Linked DNA regions of Schizosaccharomyces pombe. Changing the gene in region 2 together with the main gene of any one other region gives a genetic interaction. Each region holds a gene or a part of one and is shown on either strand. Other genes may lie near its edges. The genes, in order: ace2, sid1, scw1 and cdc14.

Evidence for each region.
Region 1: of sid1 (region 2) and ace2, a mutation in one rescues a mutant of the other (synthetic rescue), as found in Schizosaccharomyces pombe (one study listed by BioGRID).
Region 3: of sid1 (region 2) and scw1, a mutation in one rescues a mutant of the other (synthetic rescue), as found in Schizosaccharomyces pombe (2 studies listed by BioGRID).
Region 4: mutations in sid1 (region 2) and cdc14 are lethal when combined (synthetic lethality), as found in Schizosaccharomyces pombe (one study listed by BioGRID).

Annotation. Positions count from the first base shown.
Region 1 is NC_003424.3:3,238,681-3,242,938, forward strand, and holds ace2 (DNA-binding transcription factor Ace2), read right to left. Parts: upstream 2,474-4,258; 5' UTR 2,288-2,473; coding exon 686-2,287; 3' UTR 552-685; downstream 1-551. Other genes in the region: SPOM_SPAC6G9.01C (uncharacterized protein), read right to left, coding at 2,883-2,890, 2,975-3,073, 3,472-3,652. UniProt on the Schizosaccharomyces pombe protein: Regulates the transcription of genes required for cell separation.
Region 2 is NC_003424.3:1,984,170-1,991,737, forward strand, and holds sid1 (PAK-like GC kinase Sid1), read left to right. Parts: upstream 1-1,528; 5' UTR 1,529-1,587; coding exon 1,588-1,704; intron 1,705-1,760; coding exon 1,761-3,059; 3' UTR 3,060-3,193; coding exon of another isoform or gene 3,194-3,302; 3' UTR 3,303-3,339; coding exon of another isoform or gene 3,340-6,806; 3' UTR 6,807-7,065; downstream 7,066-7,568. Other genes in the region: SPOM_SPAC9G1.07 (Schizosaccharomyces specific protein), read left to right, coding at 1-38, 84-269; SPOM_SPAC9G1.08C (phospholipase), read right to left, coding at 399-1,124; putative mitotic spindle organizing protein Mzt1, read right to left, coding at 1,181-1,375; inp53 (inositol polyphosphate phosphatase), read right to left, coding at 3,194-3,302, 3,340-6,806. UniProt on the Schizosaccharomyces pombe protein: Has a role in the septation initiation network (SIN) required for cytokinesis.
Region 3 is NC_003421.2:671,695-675,770, reverse strand, and holds scw1 (RNA-binding protein Scw1), read right to left. Parts: upstream 2,296-4,076; coding exon 610-2,295; 3' UTR 520-609; downstream 1-519. Other genes in the region: p21-activated protein kinase inhibitor Skb15, read left to right, coding at 1-6.
Region 4 is NC_003423.3:2,330,573-2,335,566, reverse strand, and holds cdc14 (SIN component Cdc14), read right to left. Parts: upstream 3,442-4,994; 5' UTR 3,298-3,441; coding exon 2,575-3,297; 3' UTR 2,394-2,574; coding exon of another isoform or gene 1,290-2,393; 3' UTR 538-1,289; downstream 1-537. Other genes in the region: SPOM_SPBC24C6.09C (phosphoketolase family protein), read left to right, coding at 1-305; folliculin bhd1, read left to right, coding at 1,290-2,393; gpa1 (G-protein alpha subunit), read right to left, coding at 4,006-4,994. UniProt on the Schizosaccharomyces pombe protein: Has a role in the septation initiation network (SIN) required for cytokinesis.

The DNA.
Region 1 (4,258 bases), 1.3 Mb from region 2:
TTGTGTTTGCATAAGCTACGACGAGTTTTCGTATTTTTTGGTTCTTTGCAAATAGAAATGAATTATCTTTTCTCTTGCCGACAAAATTTCCTCCAATGACCAGCAATAATAGTTAAAACAATCATTGGTTTCTCTGTTTAAGTCATAGTGATTAATTTGTTGAATTATTATTATCATAATAAATGCTTGCTTGGCAGCATACTACAACCACTGTTTTCCAATGAAATACTTCGCATACTATAGTAATTAAATACAAGTTTTCCCTAGAAATACCAACTTAAACATATGTTGACTAAACATCGGTGCGAGTGAAAGCAAACACTAATTCTTACTCATGTATCCAAGTTGTTTGTCAGGTTTGGGGAAACTAGTTTTACCATTTCAGCCGTTCAACGATACGAACAACTTCATAGTTGTATTTCCATTTCACAAAGATTAATCTGTAGATTTTAGATGATGCAGAGTTATACACAATACTAGGGTGATGAATAAATATACAAAAGACAGATACAAGTTGATAAATTATCAAAATTGTCACAGCATTAGTTCATGTACGATGCTTGAATTTGAATTTATATAAAAGCAAATTAAAAACAATAATATTAGTAAAATTAAAAAATCCCAAAAAAAAACCAAACATAACTCATTATAATGCAATGCGATGCAAGTTGTACAGCTGTCATCATTAGTGCTGTCTGCGATCTACGCCGCCAACACATATATTTCTCTGCTTATGCCGATTTAAGGCATCAAGTCGGTTAAATCTCTTTAAGCATTCACATACATATGGCCTGCCATTTTCGTGAATCCTCAGATGACGCTTAAGATCGTGGTGACGAACAAAGCCAGCTTTGCATAAGTCACAGCGATACGGACGGTCGCTCAGATGTGTTTGAATATGCGATTCAACATTATATTTGCGAGCAATACGTTTATTGCACCCGTTGTACAAACAGACGTACTTTCCATCTGCTTCAGGGCCGCAATATAAGCTAGCCATTGTCTCCGGAGGAATTCTACAAATCCTAGTTGATTGCTTGCGAGTTTTGCATCTATGATCGTATGAAATTCTGACCGGAGGTTTGGAATCATGCTCGGTGACTTGAGGAGTAATTGATAAATCAGCAGATTCAATTTTTGGAGCTAATTGTTCTTCTTCCTTGACAGTGATACAAGGTTCAGGTTTCTTGGTAACTATGCAAGATTCATAAGGTGCACTTAATGCAAACTGCTGTGTCAAAGTGTTGTTGATATTTGCGTTCGATATGTCAAGTCCATGATCGCAAACGGATGAGAATTTTTCAAATTCAGAAACGTATTCAGCAGGTGATGATAACTTTGCAAACGCTTTCTGGTTGTCAGTATGCCTGCATACATCCAAATGGGAAAACGAAGAATCTAGAGCAAAGGAGGGCTTTTGAGGCGAAGTGGGCTCTAGCTTTACAAGTTGGGCAAATGGGGATACAGGGGAGATATTAGGTGCAGTCTCTGGACTCGATAAGTCTACAGGATGTGCCGGACTTGGTTGGGATATTTGAAAGTTCAATTCTTCAAATGAAGGCGCACCGTTTATCTCATCTAATCCAGGGGGAGAGGATGGGAGGAACATAAACTCATTAAATGATTCCAATTGCGAAGAGCTGGGAAGAACGGAAGAGGCAGGACCCGAGGTTTCAGGTATACTTGAGGAAAGGTAGTCGAAATTTTCGAGGTGATCTTTGTTGGAGCAAGTTTCCGTCTTTATTTCTGGTATGTCAAACTCAGGAAACGAAAGGACTTGTTGTTGAGAGTCCAGCTCATCAATCCAATTTGATGCATCATAACCAATTTCGGAAAAGGCCTGTTGAGAGTTGGTCAAGGAAAATGCGTCATTGTTATTAAAATTTTGCTCGGTATGGATTTGTGATACGCAAGTTAAAGGCGAGGAAGGGGGTGATAAGGAAGCATCAAAGGAGGATGCATACGAGTGAGAGTCGGGGAGCGATATTTGGTTCGATAAAAAGTATGCAGAATTCGCTTCCAACAAAGGGTTAAACGGTGTTTTTAGAACAGAACTATAGTCAAACTGATCTTGAAAGTTCTGAAGATGAGAAGGCGGTGAAGGGATAACAGCTTGATTTAAAGACACCTCATTTTCAAAGGGAGCGAAGGAGGAAAAAGAAGTATGCTTGCTATCGCCAAAAGTTTCATAATCCCTTTGGTACGAATGATTACAAGCTGGACTCTCTTCTTGTCGAAATGATTCAAACGACTTTTGCGAAGAAGATGATAAATATGAAAGCGACATTGTCTTGTTTACTTAGGATAGCGAGTATCTAGTGCAATGCGTAGAGAAATCAAGGAGAGAACGATGAGAGAAATGACTCTTGAAAAGAGTGCTTGATAACTTGAAGTGAGATGAAAGTGTGGCTCAAAGCCAGTCTAACCCAGTAGATGATTGAACTAATCACTCTTCGATTTTTTTTTGTTTGTTACAGCAATGTTTGGTGCGCTGGCTATTTGTTTATATCAAATAGCTACTCCGTTGCTATGACGACAATTGTTGAATTTTATGCTTCACTTTACCGCAAAACAAGTCACTATTTGTTTACATTGCATGGATTACCGAACCATATCACAACAACGCAATACAAGTGTAAACACAGACCCAGGGATTGTTTATTTACCTTTTGTTGCCAAAGGGACAAATCAACTATTTTTTGAATTAAACCAGTAAAAGGTTTGATTGAAAGACACTACCACTAATAAACAGGATAATCACGGCTATGAAAATGTCTACGCTTCAACAACTGGATCATGGATGATATTAGAAAACATAGATTAAGTATGACAAGCCAAAAAAAAACGGTAACCAACCTGAAAAAACGACAACGACGTTGAGATCAAAAACCTTAAGGTATTAGTATTAGTATAGAGCTAGCAAGAGAAAAAATGCCATGGAAAAGTTTTTAAATGCAATGAATAAGTTACTTACAACACTGACAATCAAAAGGGCAATCCGGTGTACCTCCACCTTGGCCAATGTTTAATTCCTCCTCGTCATATACAAGAAACCCTTCCTCGGTACGCTTTCCTAAAACACAAAACGTTAATACAATTACTGATGATAAGGAGAAAAGTGCCGTTGCTAGGTAAGTATTGCATCGTTCGGCAAACATTCCCGTAAACAGAATAGCGAATAAGGTTCAATACCACACAATAGAGCTTAATGATTTGGAGTCTCCACCAACACTAAACATCATTGTGAAATGTATCTCCCTAGAAAAACGTAATCTAGCTCTAGCAGTATATAATAAATAAATAAGTATATAGCACAGTTCGAAGTTTCTCAATCTTTTAGACAATAAATATGAATTTGAGGTCAAAGAATTGACAAACAACGCGGATGCCAAACATGAACGAATGCAATCATTAACCAAGTAGCGAGAACGTATGTAAGGATGAACTATCAAACGGCAAAAAGTGTCTTACTTCCTGAGGCTCCCTTTGGATCTAAAAATAAATCGTCTTGGTTATTAGTAGGTTTTGGACGACTTGGAGTAGATTTTGTCTTGGCTCCTTTCTTAGGGGCTTTCGCCTCCGACTTTGAGTCATTTGACTTTTCATTTGCAGGGTTTGCCTTTTTAGAAGCAAAAATGTCGTCGATTTCCATCTTTTAAATACTCGTAGAGAGGAGTTTGCCAAGTCAATGGCAATTGTATAATTGAGTAGAGAGACAGTTTGTTGTAGCTTGCAAACTTGCTAGAAATTCTTTTGCGGTACCGTGCTTCATAAAATAAGAATTCTCTAAAATGCTTAAATCTGCATAACGTATTCTCTCGTATTACGGTAAAGAATTTGTAATATTTATAAGAATGATTCTTCAGAAGAAACTTGTACCAGCATTAAGGCATGAGATTGATCGATTCCTTTTTTTTCCTTTGGTTCTTTATTATGTTTAAAATTGTTTAATTTTGTTTAGAAGCTGTATCACCTCTGTCATCGGTATTTCGAAACGGCAATAAAATGTAGACAATTCTTTGGCCAAGCTTTCTTTATAAAAGCATATTTAGGTCAACTCTATCCTAATACCATAAATTAACACTTTTTGTCTTCATTTAAGAAGCGAATTATTGCTGTATCAAATTAACAAATGCAAAATCTCATTGCTTAATAAACGAAATACTTTAGTAATTAAGCATAAGATAAAAATAAAGTGAATACTATTTGACAATGAAAATCAGCTCAAAACCTCTGTCAATTCTTTTTCAGCCTAGAA
Region 2 (7,568 bases):
AAAACTCATCGAATTTAGCTTCTGCTTCCGTTGATGATGTAAGTGAAGAGTCTCAAGTTGAGCCAAATACTCTAATTTTTCAGAATTTTAGTTCACCTTCTACTTCATTGTCAGCTCCTAAAGACACTCCGGCTGTTATTCAATCGATCAATACTTCGTTTCTTAATAATGAGAGAGCAGGGCGTGGAAATATAAAAACAGTTGACCAAAATCAACTAATTAATAGAATTGTTGATAAGCTTCCGGATCTTAGTTATCTTGTCGATTGAAAATCTTAATGATCAAAAGGTAAACGTACTAATTTTAATCACATAATGGCTAGAGGAGTTATTGTTATATCTATGCCCAAATGAATATTAACTTTATTGTGAACAAATGTTAACTTAAATAAATCAATTCTAAAAAGATGTAAGAGGAATTGCATCTTCAAACAACGTGTTGTGAATATACAAATGTTTACTAATAGATTGAACGAATGTATACCATTCTCTAGGGGATGAAGGCATGTCAGTTTTATCATCACGATTCCAACATGTGAGGTGAAATGGTTTAAATGTTTTACGTAATCGCGATTCTTCATATTCGCTGCATGAACAATGCAATCGCTTTTCAAACAAATACACTGGAACATGAAATGGATGATTGGGCAAAGTTATGGATAGCGGTAGAGTACCTCCAAAGGAAAATATCCCTCCAAGCTGGTATTTAGTAGACAATTTATAACAACTATATAAAGCAACCATAGCTCCTTGACCAAACCCGAAAAAAAATATTCTAGAAGATAATATACCGTAAGAGAGTAGATTGCCAATTAAATTTGAAATCATCGTAAAACTTTTAGAGAAATCGGCTTCAGATTGCAGTTCCCCGTTTTGATCAAAATGGACATCCTCTCCCCACATCCAATTGCCTCCAGGATTTTCAAAATCTAATGGTAATCGATATGGTCCACGTAAGGAAATATAACTAGTGTTGGGCAACGGAACGTTCTTTGCCATATTTGCAAAACTCTTGTGAGAATCTCCAAGTCCATGCATTAAAATAACTACATTGTGAACCTTGTCTTTCCCTTCAATAATCTCTGCGCATGCATTTGAAGGTAGAACACTGTTTAAAGAAGACATTAGATAAAAGAAATACTAAACCCCGAGGTCAACTATTGAGATTAAACTTCTTGCCATTAACTTGGTTCTGTGTCAACAGTTTGTTCCTGAGCCATACGTATTTCCCGAATTATTTGAGCTATTGCTTCTGGGTGTACGTTGTTTTCACAAAGACTGATGCAGAGTGAAAGCGTTGTTTTATCAAGTTCAGTTCCAAGCAATGTTCCTATTTCGTATAAAACTTCTATTGTCTCTTTGGTAGATTCAGACATAAAACTCGATACTTTATAATAAACTAGTCTAATTATATATACTTCGTAACAAGTTGGTAATGTTAAGTTTACTGGAATAGGCGTCTCGGAGTAGCTCATTATAATCCTCTAAGTAATAAACAAAGTACTTCGTGGTGCATCTAGCTTGTGCTTGTAAAACGAAACCGAAAGTAGGCTCAACCTCAGATTTGAGCAGTCAAAATATTGATGAAATGTATCCTCTCAATGCTAATTCTTATACTCTGCTACGGAAATTAGGATCAGGTTCATTTGGGGTTGTCTGGAAAGCACGTGAAAATGTGTCTGGCGACATTATCGCTATTAAACAGGTAAGACTAATTAATTTTTACTCTTCTTTAGTATCACAAAAAACTTACAGTTGCAGATTGATTTAGAAACAGGTATTGACGACATTACCGACATCGAACAAGAGGTATTTATGTTATCGAATTGCAACAGTTCCAATGTAATTCAGTATTACGGTTGTTTTGTTGACGGATACACATTATGGATTTTGATGGAGCATATGGATGGAGGATCAGTTTCGGGACTTTTGAAAATGGGAAGGTTGAATGAACAAGTAATTTCAATCATTCTTCGAGAGGTCCTTTATGGGCTAAATTATCTTCATGGACAAAACAAAATCCACAGAGATATCAAAGCCGCCAATATACTACTATCTTCCTCTACCGGAAACGTAAAGCTTGCTGACTTTGGAGTTGCCGCTCAACTTTCGAACGCTGCTTCGCGTAGACACACGTTTGTTGGAACGCCATTTTGGATGGCACCGGAAGTAATACAACAAACAAGTTATGGTTTAGCTGCTGACATTTGGTCTCTTGGAATTACGGCTATTGAAATGGCTAACGGAATTCCGCCCCGCGCTACAATGCATCCAATGCGTGTCATCTTTGAAATTCCTCAATCCGAGCCTCCAAAGCTAGATGATCATTTCAGTCCAACATTCCGTGATTTTGTGTCCTGCTGCTTAGATCTCAATCCTAATATGCGATGGTCAGCTAAAGAACTCCTTCAACACCCATTCATCAAAAGCGCAGGAACTGTGAAAGACATTATTCCTTTGCTTGTTCAGAAGGAGAATAAATTATTTGATGATTCGGATCAAAGTGTATTGGAAGAAACCATAAATAATACTTTAAAGCCCTTTGAAGAACCAATTGCTGAAGGAAATGCTGACATTGAGGATTGGACATTTGAAACTGTAAAGAAATCTGACTCAACTGTGTTAGGGAATACTAGCATTCCTAAAAATTCCATCATCAGTTCACAAAATAAAGAGGAATTGCCTTCATCAATAAAATATTTAGAGAAAACTATAATGAGTGATCAAGCGACACCGCATCCTTTTTCCAAGTCATTGTCTGAAAAAGGTAGCTCTTATCATAAATCGTTGACTTCCGATTTTGCTATGAAACATTATATTAAGTCCACCATACGATCGATGTTATTAAATGATAAATTGTCAGCAACGCAGCGCTCATCTTTAGAATCTTTTTATACATCTTTCATTTCTTTAGATAAAAATCTGTCCTCAAAATTTGTTAACCAAATTACTCCAGACAACAGACTGCATCACAAAAAGCAAAAGCGGAGCCCCATATCACAACTACTATTTTCACGGTGGCTTGAAGAAACTGAGAAAAGAAGAAGTCTAAATGGATAGCTTACTAAAAACTCGTAAACAACCTGTTTACAGCATTCACAATTTTGTATTTAAATGAACTTATAATGGCATATTCTACTATAATTTAATCTACATAATATATATAAACACATCCAAACGAGAACTATTCGAAATCAACTTGACACTTGCTTTAAAGCATTTTGTACATTCCAGTTATTTCCAGACAAATATTGTTCAGCCGTTTGATAAGACACAGAAGTATAATTCATGACATAGGTTATTCTGGTTGGTTAGCAAAATTCTCCAAAAAAAAACATACTTAGCCTTTCTCTTAAATTCATCAGCATACTCAATCCACTTTCGTTTGACCACGTCCCATGTGGACCCCTGAGATTGCGCATTTACCATCTTCGCTTTGGAATGTATTAAAGCAGATACTGGTCGGTGATCTGATGCCTTCAGTTCGTACCTGGTATAGTTTTCTGCAGAGATGTAGTCGGGACTTCCACGATAACAGATACGATCACACCAGGCAGGCACACGCTTTTTTTCACTACTGTCGTACTGCTCACTATGAACGTCGTACTTGTAAGTTGGGGCAAACGTGATTTCTGGTTCAGTAAATGTTCTCAGACGAAATCCGGCATTTCTTTTTCGCTCAACAAGAAGCTGATCGCTTTGGAGCAAAGTTTTTATGTCGTTTTTTTTAATTAAATCTAAAGCTTTAGGTCTCAATGTGTTGATTCTATAATTTAAATCACCATGCAAAACACAAACTTCGTGATCCATAATTAAAGAGCCATCGCCACCACCAACGAATGTATTCAATTGATCAGTTTCATCATTTTCAGGAAAAAGAGAAGCATTGTCTAAAATTGTTGCCAAATCATTATTTCTGGCTGCTTTATTGGATTGACCAGCAGCCAAATGACAGTTTACTATGCAATATGAAGTATCATCTACCAGAAAGCGAACGACTATTGCACCTTTGTTACCATGCAAACCACCTAGTCCCGTTTTTACAGTTGTCGATTGTAACATCCGAATTTTGCTTTGTAACTTATTTTTTACAAAAACACATGAGAAAAGACCAACCAAATTTTCACATACCAAAACCTGATAATCATCGTTTGAGCTTACCCGCATCATTTCAGATTCTAATTTTTCACGCCATAAACGATACTGACTGGAAATATTAGCACTGTTAGACGAACCACCTTTGGAGCTCGACTTTGAAAGGATGCTTCTAGCTGTGAGTCTTTTATTCTCCAAATCAACTAGCTCTTGAAAACCAAACACAACTATATCTGGGTATCCATTGTCTCGAATCATCATTGGAATCATACTAGCTCCAATAGTATCACTATCTAGATCAGATGGCTTTGAAGCTCCGGCATTCCAGGAACAAATAAGTATAGACACGTCAGTAAAATTACTATATTCTGGGAAGCGGCTTCGCATTTCGGTAGCTAACCAGTCACCCATCATTAAACCATCCCAAAACTTGACAACTGAAGAAGCCATACTAACAACTTGGAGCCTTTTAGCTTTCCATACGCTATTCACATCAATACCAAGTATAGTGGTAGCTCCATTGTGACTTGCTTTATGACCATGCCAACTTTTTAAGAGGCGCCAAGGACTCTCAGAAACATCAAATACGTAAATCATGCCTGTCGTGTAGGCTGCCCAAAGTGTATTTCCAACACCAACTAGTGAACAAATTCTATAGAATGAACTGCTAGTAATTAGCTCCAAAAAACGGTATTGGGTTTTCGAAAAGATGGATATTTTTCCATCAACGTGACCATAGAAGACCAAATCCGTAAAGTTTGAAATAGTAGTGCCACAAGAGATATCACCTATCAAACCAGGTGGAGTCATGGGCTTCGCCAAAACACTTGCCGACTCATTTTCTGAAGTTGAAGGATCATATACATAAATTGATTTCCCAACAACAACCCATAAAAGCCGATTATCTAAAACCATAGCATGAGTGGCATGAGGAATGGTGCGAATACTATGTGGAGTAGACTGTATACTTAAACCCATAATTTCATCTTCCTGCCATACATACAGTTTTCCCATATCGTCCAACGTCCACATTTCATTTTTATAGACCATAACGTAAGTAATAGGACAATTGGAAACAGACTTCTTAGTAACGATATGATGATTTTGAACATCGACTTCCCATAACATCCCATCTCTCGTTCCAAACCAAACAAATCTGCCATCGTCAGAGTAATTCTCCGGGGATGATTTAAATGATAAGGACGTTACCTTCGTATCCCCTAGAGGCATATGCCAATGACAAAGACCAGTAACGGTGTCATAAACACGAAGTCCTCCGTTTCCAGCTAAAACAAGGCGATCACCACTAACATCAAAGATTCTAGCTTCAAAATCTACGTTAATTGATTCAACACCGTTAACAAAACAGGGCGGGTTCCTCCTAACGCTAGAAGTATCTGGTATGCTTCCTTTTAAAACAACATCTAATTGCGATGACGAAGAGGAACTAGCAGCAACAGAAGGATCACTTTGCTCAGTAGAAACAGGCATAGAGACAGGTTTGTTAGTAGCTAAGGATTTCACCCTCGGTGGTGGTGGAGGAAACAAAGGGGATGGTTTAGAAGATAAGTTTTCAGATGTTAAAGCTGGACTAGACAGTTCTGATAAAGTGTGACTAGGACGGGGAGGTAATCTGGGTTTCTCAGGTATTAAAGACATCTCTGATGCAGGAGCAATATGAGTGTAGGGAGACGACTGTAAACCAGTAACAAGACTGGCGTCACTTTTAGTAGCCAAATTCTCTATTGGGGAAGAAGAGCGCTGGGTAGAAACTTTACGCAGCGGTGGTTTTGGGGGCTTTCGGGGAGATACATGAAGCGGTAATTGTTGAGATATTACCGCACGCGATTGCTGTATAGCCTCAACAGCAACTGGCTGTGGAGGTCTTGGAGAGGGAATTGGAGGAGGAGTTTCCAAAGACCTGTCTCCAATGTTCAAAACAGGAGGCGCCGTCGATATGGGACACTCCTTTCCAAAGGTCTGGCTAAATGGATCATGCAAATCAAAGGAGGGCACACTTTTACTAGAATTGATAACGTTTTCTTCTTCTTCTTCAGAAGACAGAACCGAAGAGGCTTCGGAGTGAGTTGGAGACTGAGAAATATATGCCTTAACATTTTTTAATGGAGATACAGATATCGGGCTTGAAGAACCTGCTTTCGAAGAAAAATTGGGTTTAGGGGGTGGTATTTGATGATTATTGGTATCATCGTGTTTCATTAGATCATTTCCTTTGGTAGATTGTACAGATGATTGAAAAGAAATTTCAGGCCCTTTTTGTTGAGGTCGCTTAAGTAATGGAGAAACAGAAACAAATGAATTAGATATAGTAGGAGAAGATGGAGTAGCTACGTGAGATTCAGAAGAATCACTAGGTAGACGATCTATTTTTGAAACATCAGCGTGGGGGTTTGAAGGATTTTTAAAATTAGAAGCTAGCCTTTGAATTGAACCACTAACTTTTCGTCCAGTCGAACTTCCTATAGTCGATGAGACTTGCCTCGGCGGTGGAATAGGTCTTGCTTTAAAAACGTTTGGCTCAGAAGTGCCATTTTTACAACCTTTTACAGTTCTTCTTTTAGCAGTTTTTTCGTCCAAATTAGTTAGGTCACCGGTACTCAATGACTCGAACTTTGATTTCAATGATAAAACCGAAGGGGGCAACTCGGGTTCATCTTCATTCACATTGCTGAAGCCTTGGCGAGAGGCCATGTTCCATGATTACGACAATCTTATGCTTTAAATCAATTTTTTAAATAAATCACCTTTTTTAAATACTTCTAAAATCTATTAGGTGCTGTTTGGACCTTTTGCGCTTTTCAGCTAATTGTTGGAAAAAGACAACCAAGACACTGCGTGGGCTGACCTATTATGAAATAAACAAAGCCTCGTGCACTCAAACACACGCATCAACAATACTCCAAATAATCATTTTTACAGAAAACAAAAGGGAAGATGATGTAGAAATTCGCATAATACAAATTAGGAATTCCAAAAAACTATCAAATATTTTTTAGGCATTTGTATTGCTTAACTAAATAGTTTACTTCACATTTATAGAAACAATTTTGAAAGCCATTCTCAAGGCAATGAAAGATCATATTGTCATGTAGCTAAATATTTGTAACATATTATTAAGCATTGACTATAAACACACATTGCACAATTTTATTTCAGAAAGACACAAAACGAGAAATTTTAAGTACTTATGCAAGAAATTTTATAAGATACAGAAAATTTATTCGATATCAAAATTATATAAAAATTGAGCAACTTATGAAAGCATATGTACTATACGTTGAATAAAACCACAATAAAAGAGTGTATAAAGGCATAGAAAAAATAAAATAAAATCATATAGTTAATTGATTGTCTAAAGAATGTAATTTATACGGGAGGCAAGATAGACGTTTGACATTATGTATTAGAAATGAAGGACCATAAAAGATGATAGTATGGTTCACTAGCAAACAA
Region 3 (4,076 bases), on a different chromosome or scaffold from region 2:
GCCTAAAGTTCCTCGCAATTTTAAAAAAAGTAAATCAATTTCAACTTAATAGGGAAAGGACGGGATTACTATTATACAGTTTTTGTTGGAAATATTTTATTCACCTAGACTATACTAATATTTATAAAAGGATTAAGTGTTTGCTTATCAATGTATCCTAAAAATTCTTGTATGTAAGCTTAAGTTGGGTGTTACAATAAAAATACATCTAACCAAGTTGTTACAGTACTTGTTTAGCAATTTAAGATGGGTTCATTTAGAAGCAAAAGTCGATATTATTATGTAAATTGATATGTGTAGCAGAAGTATATGGAAATGATGAGCAAATGATAAATCCTAATGACAACTAAACAATGCAAGTACCCATCTTATATAAGAGTGAAATAAAACAGATCGCATAAATCGACAAATTGTAATTAAGCTTAACAGATGGTTAAAGTTGCATGCAGTCAAAGTGGAATAGATCGCAACTTTTGATTAACAAAGAATCAATATGCAAAACTCAAAAAAAAAAAAAGAGAAACAATATGCTTAAAAAATTTGGACCTAAAGTCCTTGCAAGGTATTGATGAATAATGATAAAATGAAGACGAGAAAATGCTAGATGAGCTATTTGCCATACATTAGATTATTACCCCAACTGGGACTGGCGTGGACTTCGTTATGTCCACCAGTATGATTAAGCAAAGAGTCTGTATTGTAATTATTCATGGAACCAGAGTGAAGGTTACGAACGTTTCCATTATGGTTGTTATGCGATGAACTTGATGAGCGCACTCCCAATGGGTTCTTCGAAAAACTCAAACGAATACCACCTTTAATGCTACTGCTAAGACAAACACCTTGTAAATTCTTCAAGGCTTCCATGGCGTATGGAATGTTTTCAAATTCAACAAAACACATGGGGCCATTGCCTTTAGTGCGGAAACAAAGTCTTTTGTATCCAACTTGAGTGGAAAACAAAACTTTCAACTCTTCCTCGGAAGTAGAAGGAGGAAGATTTCCAACATAAATGGTGTTACAAGGAGGATTTTGATCAGCAGGGTTGGTATTCGTGGGGGTAGAAGCAGGGATGCGTTGATGAATTCCATGACTGGAGGAATAAGCCGAAAATGGTGTGGAAGGTGAAATGGTAGAAGCTGAAAATGGGTAGTCTCTTGATGTTGATGGTGTCAAGGGAGGAGGGCTTGTTGTACTGAATGCACTGTTTGCCGAAAAGACACGAGGATGGGGTGATTGAGCACTAGAATTTTGGGTATGAGCGCTATAACCCTTTTCAGATGAAAGGTAATTGCGCGCCACGTTGGTGTTAATAGATAATGAGTTAAATCGCAAAATCGGAGGAACACCGTCTTGACGCAAATTGGTACTACTTTTGGAAGGAGTGGGTGACCACGTAGGTGAACCAACTTCATCCTTGGCTAACACATTCGCGAGTGTTAAAGGATAAGAAACAGGGAAAGAAGACCACAACCTATCGGAATGCAAACTACCTCCATTGTTAGGAGCCTGAAAAGTGCTATCACCCAAAGGTGTTTTTGAATGACGATAAGCAGATTCCGAATGATTTGCAGTAGGCATACTGGCTGACACATGATTACTTGACCTGCGGAAAAGATCACGATTTCCTAACAGTGGACGAGTTGGAGAATGGTTTCGAGACAGTCTGTTAAATGAAACACTACTCTCAGAGCCCTCAGTTTCGTCGCTAAGATTTGTTTGACTTCCCTTTCGATAATTGTCTAAAATTATCATGCTGCACGCGGAATAAACATCGCTAGATAGCAAAGTGTCTCTAGCAGATGCAGCAGCATCTCGGGATGAAAACACCGCCAATCCATGAGCAACTTCATTATCCACGGATACAGGATTAAGCTCGACGGATACTACATTCGTAGCGAATAAAAAGGTACATAAAAACTCTCTGGGTGTTAAGTCCCTAGGTAAATCCTCAATCCGCAAAGCATAATATCTAGGAAAACCGAATCCAACCTTAGGAGGAGCAGAGGCTAATCCACCGTTGAGGTTAGAGAGGAGTCTACCAATCGGAGTTGTGGATTTTTCCACAGATGCATAAGTAGGTAAACCGTCAGATTCAGCTTTCCCAGCTTGGCTGTGAATAGCCTGAGGAGACATGTGAAGAGCATGACATTCATCATCTCCATTCAGAATACCGGTTGGAACCAACGATGAACCACGTAGCGCATCTTCAGTAAACTCGGTTTCGTCCCCGACTTTGGTCTTACTGGATAACGATAAAGGCTTTTCAATAGCGCTCGGTGATCCCACAAACATTTTGCAAATTATATATAATGGTAATTGAAAAGAAGAGAAAAAAGAATGACAAAGTGGTTGATAAAGTAACCAAAATAAGCAATAGATGCCTAAAAGTAAAACACAAATGAAATAGCAGTAGTTGTTAAATAAACCCCAAACGATAATAAATGAGGCTTCAAGCTTAATAACACGAAATAGTTAATAAGTGGAGTAAAAAGTTAGAAACCTAGTTGGTCGACTAAAAAGAAAGTGTGTAAGTAATAAAAATAAGCAAGGGCAATGAAGAAAAATAAAAAATTCAGTAAAAATTGTTAGCAAGTATTAGAAAAATCCAAATACTTGACGCGAAAGAATTAGAAGGGCAACAACCTAGAATACTGGACGAAGATAATAAAAGAAAGACTGTAACTTCAAGAAAACGAGAGCAAAGGGTAAACTGTTGACCACCACAAATAATTCTAGTTGCTAAAAGAGAGACAGATACAACTGTGAAGCAAAAAACACAAACTGAAAATGAAAAAAAGATGACTGAAATATGCAAAAATACCGAGCTAACAAAAAGTCTAGGGCAAGGCTTATGAGGAAGAAATCGTCAAAAGTATCGATAAAAAGACTTCGAAGGTATTCGAAATGCTTAAAAAAATCAGTTAGCGATTTTTTTTTTTTCAAAAAAAAAGAAATGGTTGCAGATGGAAAAATAAAATAAACAATCAACTTTTCAATCAGCAGAGTATAAACAAATATACAAACAAGTAAACAAAAGACACTTGTTTTTTTTTGGAGAGGTAAATCAAAGGAAAGCAATCGGGCAAAAAGTGAGAAGCAAATAAAATATACCGCTATCAACAAAGAGTAAATATCCAACAACAAGAACAATCAAGATAGAAGTAAAATTGCTGGGAAGATTGGCAAAACGTAAGCAAAAGAAGTATGAACACGGTTTATAAAGGAGCGAAGAATGAAAGGAAAAGCAAAATAAAAGAAGCTTTTCTAAGTAACGTTAAATAAGAGAGATCAAGTTAAAAGAAAAAAGGCAAAAAGATTCCAAGAAATTTCAAATAAAAAGAAAAAAACTAAGAAGTAAAGTGAATATGAAATCTTTGTGAAAAAATGATTGAAACTTGATCAAAATAATAATAAGGCATAAAATAGGGTCAGAAGAAAAAACAAAGAGGGAAGAAAGAGAAAAAAAAAAGAAAAAGAATAAAACAAAAAAGGTAACCCACACAAAAACGAAGAGACTAAATATTATATAAATGTCACAAAACTTTGTATGAACAAAAAGATGGGCAAAAAAAAAGACCAAACGTTTAATAAGCAAATACCCTTAAGTAATGAGTAAAAGGCGGAAGAAATGAATCAACGAAATCAAACGAGTGAATAAAATTTCGAAAAAAAAAAAAATAAGGAGCCGGGTATCTGAATGAAAACGAATCGTGACTATTTTATGGATTGAGAATAGGGAAATCCTAAAAACACAAAATTGTTTAGTGGGGATAGAAATGGATAGATATGAAAATGAAATGAATAATGAAAGGAGGTCGAATAAAAACCCAGTTGAAAAACTATTTATGGCCAAAATTCAACAAAGCAACAAATGGCTAAAGTTCAATGAAAGGGTACAGAAAAATAAAAAAGAAAAGTAAGACTTTCAACACACACGTTGTGCTTCCGAAACGGATATAATTTTCCTTGTCGTGCAGGCTGAGTCAACGAGCCCCTAAGATGAAAAAATGAGAATTTCCGTAAAAACAATGAAAAGAAAATATTTAATAGGGAGAAACCGAGGAACGCAATAA
Region 4 (4,994 bases), on a different chromosome or scaffold from region 2:
TGAAGGCTCTCTTGTTTGATCGCATACAAGGTACACGGGTCACTATGGAGGGCTATCGAGAGGAAGGTACTACTACCACTCCTTTTAATATGATGATGTGTAACAATACCTCTCGTTATCATGTTGCAAGAATGGCTTTGCAACATGCTTTACACAATCCTACCGTGGCCGTTAATTGTAACATGTTGTGTGCCAAATATGCTTGGAAGCTCGAAGAGATTGAAAATTATATTATGGAAAACAAGGATGATCCTCCTGAAATTTATGCTGCTCCTGTCTTTAAAAATAAGACTTCCACATTATAGATAGAAATGGTGCATTCTTTTTGTTTATATAATGATAATTCTACAGAATTTAAATAAAATTACATCTGTTTTTGTGTTAATTAAAACGTTAGCATATCTTGTAGTGTTGGGGTGTACCCAAACATTGGTTGGTGGTATCACTTAGGTAGCTAGCTGACTTGGATTTGCCCGGTCGCGCGCATATTGCAATTGTGTTTTACACGATTTAATATACCAATTCTTATATACATTACTATCAATAGTTTGTGGCTGTATTTAGTAATCGAAACAGTAGAGGCACTAATTGATACCTTACGCTTTTTTGTAGCTCGTCAGTTTTTAACCTCTTCCTCCCCCTCTCAACGCACTCGCATTTTTACTTGTTTTCTATGAAGGTCGTTTTCATTTTTGAAGTTTCTTAATTACTAGCTTTTCGTAAATTCCCTCATTTGCGACTCTTCAGCATTCCCCTACAATATCGGAAATGTGGAACTTGGTATAAACTTCTGAACATTCTATTCCTTGAAGTGAGAAAATCAACCGCTTTTTCCAAACAGAAAAACTTTTTTTTTAATTCTTTTAATGTAAACTGGACAGATTCTAGTGTGTTTATTATATTTTGGTACTGTGTGAGATGAAGACGCACACATATATCCTCTAATTTATCAGGAATTTTCATATCAATTTCAGTATCTGGAGCGTTTCAAGCTCTTTAATCCATTTTTTTTCTAATCCTCAATCTTTTCGAAATACCTCAGTATAACTGAATGTTTGCTTGGTAAATCGGTAAAGTACAAAAGGTTGTTTTCGAACGAATGCACATCTTACATTTTATCGACTTTAAAACGTATCACCTTATTAATCATTAGATTTGAAGGCATTATTTAGAAGCTATTATACACCATCAAAACTTTTCAAGTTCATTGTCGCTTTCTAAACATTTGCTTTCAGATCGCCTTTGTCAACTAAACACTTTTATCTCACCAAATTTCCATAATAGTCATAATGGATGTTGTTTTTGCTCTTGGACATTTCTGTGAGGCCGAGGGGCCTTCCATTATTTTTTGCACTCAAAAATTGCATCGCTCTACCGTTTCAAAATTTTTTGAGCATCCTACATCTAAGCGCTCTATTGGCGTAACGGAGAATGGTAATGATTCACCAGAAGCCTTCAAAAATGAACTCGATAATCGAAACAATGCCGATTCTCAATCTTTACAAAGTTCTACCGAATCACTTTTCAAAGCTGATTCTGAAGATTATTTATGTAAAAAGGTATCGAAAGGACCAGAATCCCCCCGAGTAAACTCATTTCATAACTCATACTCTCGAAATCAAAGCCCTATTTCGAGAAAATCATCTTGTGTTACATGTAGTACTGTTTTACCCCTTGAATTCTCTGTACCTGATGTTCAACCACGACTTTATACAAACTCAAGTACAAACCCCGATGTTTTATACATGTCTAGTCAACATCCACATACTCAGCAACGATATTCTACCCTTAAGCGATTAATGGTTCGCTGCTTGAGCTGTGAATATTCAACACTATCTGAAGCTTCCGATTCTATGTCAAATCCTTTGTTCTTTGGAGACCAAGATAACGGTTACGTTATTAGTCAGTCTTTTTCTTTAAGAGATCCCTCTGCCCGGGGAGGACTTCGAAGATATGCGATTATTGCTACTTGTCCAAATCAGTTAGATTTGATTTTGCGATATAGTTTTATTTCTGAAAAGTTTCTTCATATAGTCCAGTTTCTAAGGATTTCTTCTTTCAATACAAAGAATGACTACTCCTCCTCCCGTTCAAAAACAACAGCCTCCTCTAGCAATGGAACGTTTGCATCCCCCAGTTTTAACATTTCTTCGTTATCGGGTTCTTCAAATATAGGAACTGCTCCTTCGTATGAGATATCCTCTAGTATCGGTGCAAATGTGTCATCTTTGGCCCACACACAAAGACTTCCTTCTTTCAGTTTTTTGCGTCGTCGAGACGATATTGGGGAGGGACGCAGTTTAGTTGATATCACATGTTGGGACGGAATCTTTGTCGGTCTTCACAGTTCGTTTAGCTGGATTCTGGAGGTTTGGGATCTCTTAGTAGTATGAAAGTAAAACTGGTTGACTTTTTACAAATGCTATAGGATGCTGGAATACTTTCAATAGTAAGATGATCGATTAATAATTTAACATTAACATTAGAAATTCTTTAGTAAATGAATACTAAATTTTCAAAAATAAGTTAACAATGAGACTTTAAACATTTTTTTGCACCAGGCATTGCATCTAACTAGTCGAATGTTTCGTCTAACTTGCCAAATGGTTGAAACTTATCTAAATCATCTCGAAGCCCTTGTACGTTAGAAAGATATTTGGATAGGTAAGCTTGTTTCTCAGTCCGCGTTTTCCTGTAGGCAATGACATCTATAGAATATGGTTCAGGGGATAAATAGAAATAGAAAAATTCGAGAATTTGAAATCGGGTGTCCTGACTTGTTTGTTTGTGCTTAAAAACTACGCATATCTGCTGCAAGCCATTAATCTGCTCAAAAAGCCTAATAGCCAGTGGACGATCTGCCATGATACATACAAGCGTTTTCATTGCAGCCACTTGCAACATAGATGGCTGAGATGGCTGTAATAAATGAATAAATAACCTTAAGGTAGCTTTATCTTCAAATAACGTCTGTGATTTTGGATGGATTAAAACCAATCCTTCAATCACATGCAGTAAGTCATCAATTAGCTTTTGAATGAATTGAAAGTTTTTTTCGTATGCCTCTTCATTCTGCTGATATTCAAGGAGACTGTCCAAAGCGTAAATGCAAGGGGTAGTAGAATTATACAATGGTGAATCCTGTAATTTTAGGAAAATTTCTCTTGGAATTTTATCATCATGACTAGGTTTCGCAACATGATATACAATAGATTCGACTTGACGCAAACCAATTCGAATTAGCTTTGGATTCCTCATACACAAATGCTGTTTAGCATTGTTTAATAGATCTTCCATACCGGATCATTATTTACTCATGCCAAGCGGGCAATAAAAATCCTTATTATAAATAAAAGTAAATTGAATCTTCGTTTAGTTAAAGATAAAAAAGAGACTCTATATTCGTTCTTAGTAATGATATAAATAGTAGGGTGGAGTGTTGAAGCAGCTACATTAAATTGCTATTTTCTAAAACTTGAGGTTTTGGGAGAGAAAACACCAGCTTGCTAAGATAGGATACAATTGAATATTAACAGGCGAATTGGAGCCATATTTGAAAAAGGGGCCTAAAATAACAAAACAAGCAACATCGAGTCCTTATAGATTTATATTTAGTTTACGATCAAATCCGCCTAATTTAATTATATTAATATCAATGGGTTTAGTTTGTCTCAAACGGTTGACATGAAAAAATTTAGATATTAAATTAAACAATAGTTATGTATTAATCGTAAAATTATCAAATAACAAAAACTGCAGTTAATTTTGAGCTATTTAAAACAATATAAGATTACACGAAGCTTCGAAGAAGCTATGAAATAAAACAATTAGAATGCACTAATTAACAGTTTCGATGGAGAAATAACACATGAAGTGCATACAAAATGCAAGGAAATTAACTAGAGACACCATTCACGGAAAAGTATAGAGGCTTTTCCTAGAGTGCGAATGAAAGTAGAGAAATGAGACAGAAAAGATTATGAAGATAGTTAAGGAAAAATTCATCTAAAACATAAGTGACTGTAGATTGTTGGACATAATCGTATCTTGAACGGATACCATTACCCTTTGGAGCAAACTAGTGTCTGTAGCTGTGGTAAAATGGCAATAGCAACTACGAGAAGCGATGCGATTAAGACTTTCAAACTTTAAGTAAAAGTAATACATACCGCTTCGAACTGCGTTGTCGGCAAGAGGGCATTGAGTTTGTACGAATGTTGGTGTTGAACCAACTTCTTGGTAATCAGGAAAATGCTTCTGGATGGGGGAAATGTGAACCTTTCTTTTAAATAAATCAAGTTTATTTAGAAAAAGTATCATTGCTGATTCTGAAAACCAGCTAGAGTTACATATGGAATCCCATAATAATAACGCCTCCTGCATCTGATTTCCTGAATTGTCCTCTACAAGGCATTGATCGTAACCTGCCAAAGAAACGAGAAACAACAATGCAGTGACATTTTCAAAGCAATGAATCCATTTTCTGCGCTCTGATCTCTGTCCTCCTACATCAAAAAATCGGTAATGATGACGATTTAACAGAAATGTTTCTTCTGATATACCGGTCGTCTTGATACGACAGTGAAGGATATCTTGATCAGAAGGTATATATTGTGGGTCAAAAATTCGATCAATGTGATCTTGATAGTAATAAAAATTGTCTAACAAAGAGAGGTTGGTACCACAACTTTGCACCGTACGAAGTTTGGTATCCAATGTCAAGGCATGAACAGCTTCATATATTTCTGGAGAAAATGGCTCATTGGGTTGAGAAGTGTGTTTTCTTAGGATAACTGCCCGATACTTCTCATTTTCCGGAAGTAAAGAGACATTACTATTATCCATAGCTTCAAGAAGAAGACATAGAGAGGAGATGATATTTTCAAAAATCATCACTCGATACTGCTTTCTAACTACTTGACTAAAACCGGGGCTATACAATAATCTCATCTGCTTCATAATGGTCGTTTTCCCACTATCACCGGCGCCTAAGA